Schizosaccharomyces pombe: one gene and its partner. The protein of the gene in region 1 interacts with the protein of each later gene in a biochemical or structural test. Each region holds a gene or a part of one and is shown in the gene's direction. Other genes may lie near its edges.

The links. The genes of interacting proteins can lie anywhere in the genome.
Region 2: the proteins of cdc6 (region 1) and cdc1 form a complex in vitro, tested with the Schizosaccharomyces pombe proteins (3 studies listed by BioGRID).

The regions. Positions count from the first base shown.
Region 1 is NC_003423.3:2,741,629-2,749,163, forward strand, and holds cdc6 (DNA polymerase delta catalytic subunit Cdc6), read left to right. Parts: upstream 1-2,133; 5' UTR 2,134-2,214; coding exon 2,215-2,443; intron 2,444-2,495; coding exon 2,496-5,527; 3' UTR 5,528-5,562; coding exon of another isoform or gene 5,563-6,699; 3' UTR 6,700-6,968; downstream 6,969-7,535. Other genes in the region: Ras guanine nucleotide exchange factor efc25, read left to right, coding at 1-1,537; hen1 (S-adenosylmethionine-dependent methyltransferase), read right to left, coding at 5,563-6,699; ribonuclease H Rnh1, read right to left, coding at 7,163-7,535. UniProt on the Schizosaccharomyces pombe protein: Catalytic component of DNA polymerase delta (DNA polymerase III) which participates in chromosomal DNA replication.
Region 2 is NC_003424.3:4,013,211-4,017,057, forward strand, and holds cdc1 (DNA polymerase delta small subunit Cdc1), read left to right. Parts: upstream 1-1,839; coding exon 1,840-2,980; exon of another isoform or gene 2,981-3,029; coding exon 3,030-3,277; 3' UTR 3,278-3,347; downstream 3,348-3,847. Other genes in the region: msm1 (methionine--tRNA (Met) ligase), read right to left, coding at 3,368-3,847.

The DNA.
Region 1 (7,535 bases):
CTCAAACGATTTTTCTACAATGCCTACAATGATTGCTTCCATTGCTGTGGCTTTCCAAACTTTATTTGAAAATGTTTGTGATTTTCTTAAAGTACGTGCTGCTCTCGTCGATGAGATGCAGGAATTAGCAACAAAAGAGTTTGAAAACAAGTTTTCAAATGCAAACACAGCAAAAGATGACGAACCGGCTCGTCAAACTAACAAAGGTACTACTAGAATTTCTAGAAGTTCTGATTTTACCGCTGTTAGCGAGATGAGCAAGGATACCTTAACACTTGGCAGAAACTCTTTGCAATCAATTTTGATGCTGGATAATTTGTTAACCAATAAAGTTGTGCAAAGCGATAACAATGTTAAAGGTGGAACTTTACCGGCCCTCGTGCATTACCTTGTCCAGAACGTTCACTTGAACAAAGATTTTCGCCATTCGTTTCTTTTGACTTATAAAACGTTCACTACCCCCCAGGAATTGTTTACGCTTCTTGTCATTCTGTTTCACGAGTTACCGCCACCAGGATTAGATGCTACAGCATATAGTTCTTGGGAAAAGGGAGATAATTTTGTTACCAAGAAGAACGTCTGCACCGTTATGAATTTGTGGGTTCAAAAATACTTTTTTGAAGATTTAAAAGCCCGTAACACTCTTTATTTGATTTCGGAGATGCGTACCTTTTTACGTGACCATGTTGTTCCATCTTTTCATATTGGCAGTGTAATTTTATCGGAAATTGACAATCTCTGGACTGAAGAGCCTCCAGATTCGTTAACCCAACGCCTATTATCTTCTCCCATGGCTACTTTTATTTCTTTAAACGTATATGCTTATACTCCTGAAGAATTTGCTTCCCAGATGACATTATTGGAGTTTGATTATCTAAAGCAGATTCCTTCGAGGGAATGGATATTTAGAAGCTGGGTTAGTCGCGATTCTCGCAGCGCTGTCCGAAATTATATAAACTTTTCGAATTGTTTCACCTATTGGATAATCAATTGTATTTTAGAGAAAAAGAATACCAAAGCTCGTACAGCAGTAATATCCTTTTTTATACAAACTGCCTACAAGTGCTTGTCCCTCCAAAACTTTTCCACTCTAATGTCTATTGTTTCTGCCTTAAATTCTGCTCCTATTTATCGTTTACATGCAGCGTACAAACTTGTTAAAGCTGAAGACATAATATGTCTGTCTGGTTTACGTGAAATCGTGGAAACAAAGAAAAATTTCAGTACTTATCGTGCTTTACTTCGCAAGGCTGAACTTCCTTGCGTACCGTTTTTGGGTGTCATATTAAGTGACTTGACTTTTATCGATGAAGGTAACCCCGATGTTCTTGATTCATCTCCACATCTGTTAAGTTTTAATAAGCGGCATCGACTTGCCGATGTCGTCGCAGATGTGTGCCGATTCCAATCCTCCTCTTACGAAATGCAATCTAATACTGATCTTCAAAGCTATATTTTACATCGGTGTCGCTTTGTTAACCAAGATCTGTCCTATTTATTTGATAAATCACTCTCACTTGAACCTCGTTCTTCTTAAATCTTATTTTTTACCCCTCTCTTAAAATCCCGTTTTGGTTTTAGCCCGTATAGGGTTCGCTCTTTTAGTTGTCTTTCAGACACAGCTTTTAATCTATCTCTTTACGTATTTACTGTTAATGTTATCGTATTGGTTTAACTGACATGACCTTGATGTTGTATTATTCATTAGGCGTTGGTAAACAAAGTCTCAGAATAAATTATCGGAATTGTCGGTTTGTAGGCTGATGACTCTGCTCAGTTTTCTTAATTCCTATTGCTTGGAATCTAGTTCTTTTTGTTTTTGGACAATTGCGTCCTTTTTATTACTAATATCTTCCATTAATAATAAATTAGTCTTTTGTTATGCCCAAGAATACATTAAGTAGTGGTTTATGTAGCTTGATGGAGATTGGTATAAACTTGTATATTTGATTTCTTTCTCCATCGTAATTTGACAGCTAACCTATTTAATGTGGTTTTACCTTTTCAGCAGTTGACACTCATACCAAAATTTATTGGTGTACGCTTTGAACTTACCTACAAGATATTCGCCTAAGTACCTATTTGTTGTTACCTACAAAACCCTTTTAGTTGCTCGTCTTCCTACCAAAAACCAAGAGCATGTAAGCTTGGTGTCTTCCTTATTTACCATTTTCTGTTCTAATTTTCATAATAAATAAAAAATTAATTACTAGAATGACAGATAGGTCTTCAAATGAGGGCGTCGTGTTAAATAAAGAAAACTATCCATTTCCCCGAAGAAATGGTTCAATTCATGGCGAAATTACAGATGTCAAACGGCGACGTTTAAGCGAAAGAAATGGATATGGTGATAAAAAGGGCTCATCCTCAAAAGAAAAAACTTCATCTTTTGAGGATGAGCTGGCTGAATACGCTTCACAATTGGACCAAGATGAAATAAAATGTAAGGTTTTTTGGATAGCTAACCATTTATTAGTATACTGACTCCTTGATAGCTTCAAAAGATCAGCAGTGGCAACGACCAGCTTTACCTGCAATAAATCCTGAGAAGGATGATATTTATTTTCAGCAAATCGATAGTGAGGAGTTCACAGAAGGATCTGTACCTTCAATTCGTTTGTTTGGTGTTACTGACAATGGAAACAGCATCCTTGTTCATGTTGTGGGATTCCTTCCGTACTTTTATGTTAAAGCCCCGGTTGGATTTCGACCTGAGATGCTAGAACGTTTCACACAAGATTTAGATGCTACTTGTAATGGGGGTGTGATCGATCATTGCATTATAGAGATGAAGGAAAATTTATATGGATTTCAGGGAAATGAAAAATCTCCATTCATTAAAATCTTTACTACTAACCCTCGTATATTATCTCGAGCACGAAATGTATTTGAAAGAGGAGAATTCAACTTCGAAGAGCTTTTCCCTGTTGGTGTCGGTGTCACTACTTTTGAGAGCAATACGCAATATCTTCTTAGATTCATGATTGACTGTGATGTTGTTGGTATGAATTGGATTCATCTTCCTGCTTCAAAATATCAATTTCGTTACCAGAATCGAGTTTCTAATTGTCAAATTGAAGCTTGGATTAATTACAAAGACTTGATCAGTCTTCCAGCTGAAGGCCAGTGGTCTAAAATGGCCCCACTGAGGATCATGAGCTTTGATATTGAATGCGCAGGTCGCAAAGGCGTTTTTCCTGATCCCTCTATTGACCCTGTAATTCAAATTGCAAGTATAGTAACGCAGTATGGAGACTCCACTCCTTTTGTTCGTAATGTCTTTTGTGTTGATACATGCTCACAAATCGTTGGAACACAAGTATATGAATTTCAAAATCAGGCTGAAATGCTTTCAAGTTGGTCAAAATTTGTTCGTGATGTTGACCCAGATGTTTTAATTGGGTACAACATCTGCAACTTTGATATCCCTTACCTCTTGGATCGAGCAAAAAGCTTACGCATTCACAATTTCCCATTACTTGGCCGTATTCATAATTTTTTTTCTGTCGCAAAGGAAACCACGTTTTCAAGTAAAGCATATGGTACTCGTGAAAGCAAAACCACTAGTATTCCTGGGCGTTTGCAGCTTGATATGTTACAAGTAATGCAGCGTGATTTTAAGCTTCGATCTTACTCTTTAAATGCAGTCTGCTCTCAGTTTCTAGGCGAGCAAAAAGAAGATGTACACTATTCTATCATCACTGACTTGCAAAATGGCACTGCCGATTCTAGAAGACGTTTAGCTATTTATTGTCTGAAAGATGCATATTTACCCCAACGCTTAATGGACAAATTAATGTGTTTTGTTAACTATACTGAAATGGCAAGAGTAACAGGTGTACCGTTTAATTTTCTTCTTGCTAGAGGCCAACAGATTAAAGTTATTTCTCAATTGTTTCGCAAAGCTCTTCAACATGACCTAGTTGTTCCAAATATACGTGTAAATGGAACAGATGAGCAATATGAAGGTGCTACAGTCATTGAACCGATTAAAGGATACTATGATACCCCTATTGCAACACTGGATTTTAGTTCACTTTATCCTTCGATTATGCAAGCCCATAATTTATGCTATACGACATTACTTGACTCAAATACTGCAGAATTATTAAAACTTAAGCAAGATGTTGACTACTCAGTGACTCCGAACGGAGATTATTTCGTTAAACCACATGTTCGTAAAGGACTACTCCCTATTATCTTAGCTGATTTACTTAATGCACGTAAGAAAGCAAAAGCAGATCTAAAAAAGGAAACGGACCCATTCAAAAAGGCTGTTTTGGATGGTAGACAGCTAGCTTTAAAAGTAAGTGCTAATTCAGTATATGGATTTACTGGTGCTACCAACGGACGTTTGCCGTGTTTAGCAATTTCTTCTTCTGTTACCTCTTATGGTCGACAAATGATTGAAAAAACCAAGGATGTTGTAGAAAAGAGATACAGAATTGAGAATGGATACTCTCACGATGCAGTTGTAATCTATGGTGACACTGATTCTGTTATGGTTAAGTTTGGCGTTAAAACGTTACCTGAAGCCATGAAATTAGGAGAGGAAGCAGCTAATTATGTTTCAGACCAGTTTCCGAATCCTATTAAACTGGAGTTTGAGAAAGTGTACTTTCCATATCTTTTAATTTCCAAAAAACGTTATGCAGGATTATTTTGGACTCGTACAGATACTTATGATAAAATGGACTCTAAAGGAATAGAAACTGTCAGAAGAGATAACTGTCCTCTAGTATCTTATGTGATTGACACAGCTTTGAGAAAAATGTTAATTGATCAGGATGTAGAGGGTGCACAGTTGTTTACAAAAAAAGTTATTTCCGATTTGTTACAAAACAAAATTGATATGTCACAACTTGTAATCACAAAGGCATTATCAAAAACTGATTATGCTGCCAAAATGGCACACGTTGAATTGGCTGAGCGAATGCGTAAACGAGATGCTGGCTCCGCCCCAGCCATAGGAGATCGCGTTGCATACGTTATTATTAAAGGTGCACAAGGTGATCAATTTTATATGAGGTCGGAGGACCCTATATATGTATTGGAAAATAACATTCCTATTGATGCAAAATATTATTTGGAAAATCAACTCTCCAAACCTTTGCTTAGAATTTTTGAGCCTATTCTTGGTGAAAAAGCTAGCTCTTTACTTCATGGTGACCATACTCGGACGATTTCCATGGCAGCCCCCAGTGTTGGAGGAATAATGAAATTCGCAGTAAAGGTTGAGACCTGTCTTGGATGCAAAGCTCCCATAAAAAAAGGTAAAACTGCTTTATGTGAGAATTGTCTAAATAGATCGGCGGAACTGTATCAACGTCAGGTTGCTCAAGTGAATGATTTAGAAGTTCGTTTTGCTCGCTTATGGACTCAATGTCAGCGATGCCAAGGAAGTATGCATCAAGACGTCATTTGTACCAGTAGAGACTGCCCCATATTTTATATGCGAATTGCAGAACACAAGAAACTTCAGCAATCTGTTGACTTACTGAAAAGATTTGATGAAATGTCCTGGTGAAAAAGATGGATGTTTTTAATTACTAAATGTGTATATCAAACGTAATGATGAAAAGTTATAATAAAAATTCTACTTTTCTTAAGTACTTTTGCAATGCGAAAACTAAACGAGTTTGCCAAAGCTATACCTTTATGTTTGCTTTTTTTTAATTCAGGACAATATGATAAGTAAATTGAATCATCATAATGGAAGGCATGTCGAATGAGAGGCGAAGACTCCCAGATAAACAAGAAAGGTAATTTTACTGACAAAGCACACTTGCCAGCAATAACCTGGAATAAAAGTAAACAGTGACGTCCAAATAAATGATCAAAAAATGCTTTTTTCAGAAGATTCATAAATTGCTGCACTGTTGGAGGAAATAGTTGCTCCATAAATGGGTATGTAATCTTTTTGTAAAGAAGGATGCTTGAATTTTGGTCTTTTAAGAAGCAATGAGAAGCAGCATTGTTTTTAGATTGATGAAATACTGCGATTTGGGTGCAGAAACCGTAAGTAGATGATGGGCGAAAATGTAACAAATCGTCACCATCTATTAGATCATTTAGCAAACCACAGCCCGTAAATTCAACAGTATACTCTGGGTATCTTTTACAAATTTTATAAGCCCATTTAGCAAACTCTTTTCGATCCCATTCAAAAACGTGTTCAGGATGTCTAAAATTGGTAGAAGTACGAGATGATATACTACTTGTCAAGGTTGATAGTTTCTCAAAGATTGTGTTAAATTCAAAATTCGGAGTTGACACTACGCAAACATTGGGCTTCAAGTTTCCAAAAACAAGTTTTTCAAAGGCTAAAATCTCTGCAACTTGACAATGCTCAATAAACTCTGAAGCTACAACCGCATCAACATGTTTATAATGAGTAAAATCTTTAATATTACCAAGCAATAATTCAATATGTAGCGGTCGCCAACGTAGTTGTAAAAAGTCTTCGGTTCTAACCTGTAAAGCCTCAGTAGCTCTTTCAATACTTTGTTCGTTAATATCAATACCGGCCAGAAATTCTATAGGCACTTGATCATTGCAAGGTACTAAATATGATAGAAAACGAGCATCTCCACATCCAATGTCTAACAAAGATCGCACAGGGAAGCCTCCTTGAAGTATTTTAAATAATTTCCTTCGACGCTGTACATGCAAAGGTGGGTAAAAGCTAGAGACACCCATTGTCTAAACTCAAAGTATTTTTGGTACACTTTCTTCACGTTAGTCAAATAACTACCTATTAACTGTGAATGTTCGTTTCAAAACCACTATTTAAGCCTTTTCAAATTCATTACGAAGCGAATTGTTATTAATTCTTTGCTAAGTCCATTGCAATATGATTTCGATGACTGCCGTTAAGACACCGAACCAAATTTAATTGAAAAGGGAATTGTTGACTAGTGCGAAGTGTCATTTTCAACGTTAAATAATAAAATTATCTTAGCTCCGAATCTATACTTTTCAATTTCCTCTTTAAAATTGTTATAATAGCATGATATTTAATTACAATAAAATATGTAGCATTATGCAAAACGAGAACAAAAAAAGCACATACAACCAGCGAAGAGTAGACGAAAATTATACGGCAAATTTCAAAAGAATGTACCTATATCCATTTTTTACAGCGCTCATCATAGATGACCATTTACTCAGAAGCTCCTCGCCGAGCAAGCATATCGGCTTGTTGATTACCGTAATCGGTACTGTGTCCTTTCACGTACTCTAGCGAAACATTTCTGTCACTCATCAAATCTGAAGCGCGGTTGATCAAATCCAAATTTTTTACAGGTTGTGAATTGCTAGTCTTAAAGTCATTTTTCTTCCATTTAGGCAGCCATGTGGTTAGTGACTTAATGGAATAATTGCTGTCAGAGCGGATGGTCAAATCGCCAGATGTATTTTCAAGGGCTAGGATTATGGCTTGCAATTCCGCACGATTGTTGGTTTGCTCTTCCCCAGCCAACGGTACTGAAATATTTCTTGGGTCATCATTTCCGAAAAAAACTCCACAGCCAGCA
Region 2 (3,847 bases), on another chromosome or scaffold:
TTTAGTTTAACCTCAGGGGAAGCGGAAACCGACAACTGTCCGCAGAACCGTTATTGGCTCGTTTGTTCCAAACTCTAGCAGTGCGAAAGTGAAATTTTTACAGTATGCAGGCAGGTCCTTCTTGCAAGACACTATAAAGTAAAAGTTTTTTAAACAATTCGACATTCCGGCGAATGTGAAAATGTAACTGTGTGAAATGTTGACTATACAAGTGCATTAAGCAAAAGATCTCATCGTAATTTTCGATCTTCAATTTATCAAACTTTCAACCGTTTTTAAACCGTATGACCTTTTAATACGTAAACAGTTTCTCATTTTTTTTATGTTTTACTGCATTAATCACACACAATAAGATTTTATTTCCATTTCATTCAAGTTGCCAAGTTATTTCTATTTAGTATATTAACAACTAAAACACAACTGGCTGGCTATGCAAGTAATTATTATTCTCTAACATAGAGATTCTTATTTTTTTTGGTACACAAGTTTATGAGTCGTTAAAACCTTTTTAAATCGTGCAACATTGATTCATCTCAGTATACTCGATTATCCCTGTGTTCGATATCCCGCAGCTGTAGCCGATACTGAATGTTAACAGTCCACAGTCTATTTATAGCTAGCTCTCTGATATCGGACAACAGGCAATACCGCTTCATTGACCTCTCGTGACAAGCGGCTTTTTTATAAAGGATGTATTGATATCTTTGAAGAAGAAGAAAATCGGCAAGTTTTTCATTTTACTTTAAACATTTGAATTTGGTTTTGCTATTCTTGCTTTTCCTTCTACAATACTTTTCCATATGGGGTAATAGTGTGACCGATCAACATTGCGTTATTTAATATTCAGATTTCAACGGAATAAAATAAAACCTCAATTTAAATTAATGTAGTTTTGATATACATCTTTAATAAGTAATATAGTAAGATACAGAAATCACCTTAACCATTTCTAGGGCACTATGTTGGCCTACCTTTCCTCCTATTAATTAACATAATGTTATTAATTTACAATCATCAAATAAATCGAAAACCCACTTTTTATGCTATAGGAAAGGGTTTGTAGTTCATTTACTTCGTTGGGGAATTTGCTTCTTTTACTTTTGTGTGATAAAACTCGATAGACTAAATATATGGATTCATCATGATTGTTCAAGGTTGAGAAAAATGTTAATTGTATGAAACGAAATAAACCCACATGATGTTTGTTCATCCTCAATTAGTAAACATTCACCTTTATTGAGCTTCTTTCTCTTTTCGTCAAGTTTACCTCTTTGTTTACATTTAAAAAAAGATGTTCTTCAAACACTTTATTGTTGTAGGTAACAACAGCTAGTCATGTTAGGAACCACGACTTTCTCATATACAACGTATTCTTACTTGTTGATCTGCTGCATCCAACTCCTTTGCTTATTCGAACCTTCTAAACCTGGTTCCATTCCATGAAATTGATTCCCCTTAACCTTGCATAGCACACCTTTGAAGTTCCTTACTCTTTACATATGCTGCTTGTGTAAATTAGTCAATAACATTTAAAGAACTGATTTTATTGAAAAAACAACAAAAGCGTTATTATATTTATTCCTCTTTTTTTTAAACAGGTGTTTTGGGGCCGTTCATAGGTTTTTTGGGAAATCATATAAATATATATATATATATATATATATTTTTTTCCGCACATTTACTTGCAATACTCGCTCGTTTTAGTAATTGCATGAATCGTAGACAACTCTTCACTCTCCATTGTTGTGAAATTTTTCGTGGAGCATCTCGATTTAATATCCTGACTACTCCTTTGGTAAGTGTTTAACTTACCTAACTGTATATATTTACAAAATAATCATGGTTGAAGTCAGACATTCAATTCCTTGTGAAGAAACTAAACGCTTGGAGCTTAGTTTAAGTCAGCAAACGTATAGTCAACAGTACGCCAGCATCTATTTCGCCCGACTTACCGCTCTTCGACCCAGAATCACAGAAGCCGCTTCAAAAAAATGGCCGGATAAACAGCGATTGGAACGCGTTTTAGATGTTAAGTCAGATGAAGACTGTTGGGTTGTCGCTACCGCTTATATGACTACAGCTCTTAAGCCAAACGTTATGAACGATGTCACACAACTTCATACAATTGTCACCACTACTGAAGAATCTCCGTATGTTAGCCCAGAAGATGCTGCTTCAGGTGATATAGAATATGCTCTTGAGGATGACTATGGCCGTATAGATTGTAGCGGAAGCTTTTTGTATGACGCTGGCGTTGTTACAGGAGTTGTTCTTGCAGTTTTGGGCCATGAAGATGAACAAGGTCGTTTCGTTGTCGTTGACGTTTGTTTTCCAGGCATCTTCTCTCATTCCATTCCAATGACTACAGATGAATCGCAAGCTCAACCAGAGTACATTGCGGCAGTCAGTGGCTTAGGTCTCTCAAATGACGGCATAGAAGGCATTCAAGTTCATCAGCTTGTAGATTTCCTAAGAGGAACACTTCCACATGTCTCTTCCTTTTCCCCTTCCTCCATCAAAAGGCTAATTATTCTCGGAAATTGCTTAGCACCTTCTATAGAAATTGCCGACTCCGCTTCTGCGTCCGTGCCCATTGGCAAGAAAAAAGTAAAAAGATATGGCTATGACACGTCTGCTTACAATCCAAATCCCACCTTCCAACTAGATAATTTTCTTGATCAAGTGTGTTCCAGCATAGATGTCACTTTAATGCCTGGTCCTTATGATTACAGTTCAACTATCCTTCCTCAACAGCCTTTGCATCCCGCTTTACTTACTAAATCAAAAGTTTGGTTGGGATCTTCTTTACAAACAGTTACGAATCCCACTTGGCTTTCTCTTGGCAATCATTTTGTGTTGGCTACTAGCGGCCAAAACATTAATGATCTCCGAAAATATCATCCCAAAAAATCTTCACTTCAATGCATGGAAAACACTTTACTATGGAATCATATCACACCTACCAGCCCTGATACCTTATGTAAGTAATCTGTACATTTTTCAAACGATATATTTGCTAATGATTTTAGGGTGCTATCCTTTCACCGACAAAGATACATTTGTAATGGAGGAAATGCCTGATCTATATCTTTGTGGTAATCAACCGAAATTTGGCTGCAAAACAGTCATTAATGAGGGAAACAGAATACAATTGGTTTCCGTTCCCGAATTTCGTAAGACTGGTGTACTTGTTCTCATAAATATGCATACGCTCAACGTAGAAATTATTCAATTCCGCCCCATGTCAGTCAAAGCAGAGACTCCAATTACTTCTTAATGCAAAATATCTTGAATATTTAATCATGTATTTATTAAATAAATAAGTTTTTTCTTACTGTTGTCATCATAATTATCTGATCTACACGTCTCATTGAGTTCTTTTGTCAAACAAATGAGAATTATTACCACTGTGGAACGTGAACTCCGTAGGTTCAAAAACGTTAGTTGCATTCTGTAGGGAGCGCTGGTTTTTAGGAATTCCTAATTGGTCTAATAACTCAGTCGACTTGGTTGGCATTATAGGTTGTAGGAGAATTCCGCTAATGCGTAGGCTGTGAGCTACTAACATTAAAGTGTCAATCTTTTCTTGAGAATCATCTGATAATTTCCAAGGTTCTTTCAATTGAAAAAGCTTAGTGACTCTTCTTAAAACAGACTGAACAAGATTAATAACCTCGTAAACACACCCACCATCTATGCTTTGCGCGCAAACAACAGGAAGTTCTATAAGTTCGTGTACAATATCTTCGTATTCTGTAAAATCATCCTTTTTATGCCATTGCTTCTGTATTTCATTGGAAATGAACAGTTTCTTCGATTGCAATCGAGAAAGTAGCACACCTAAAGA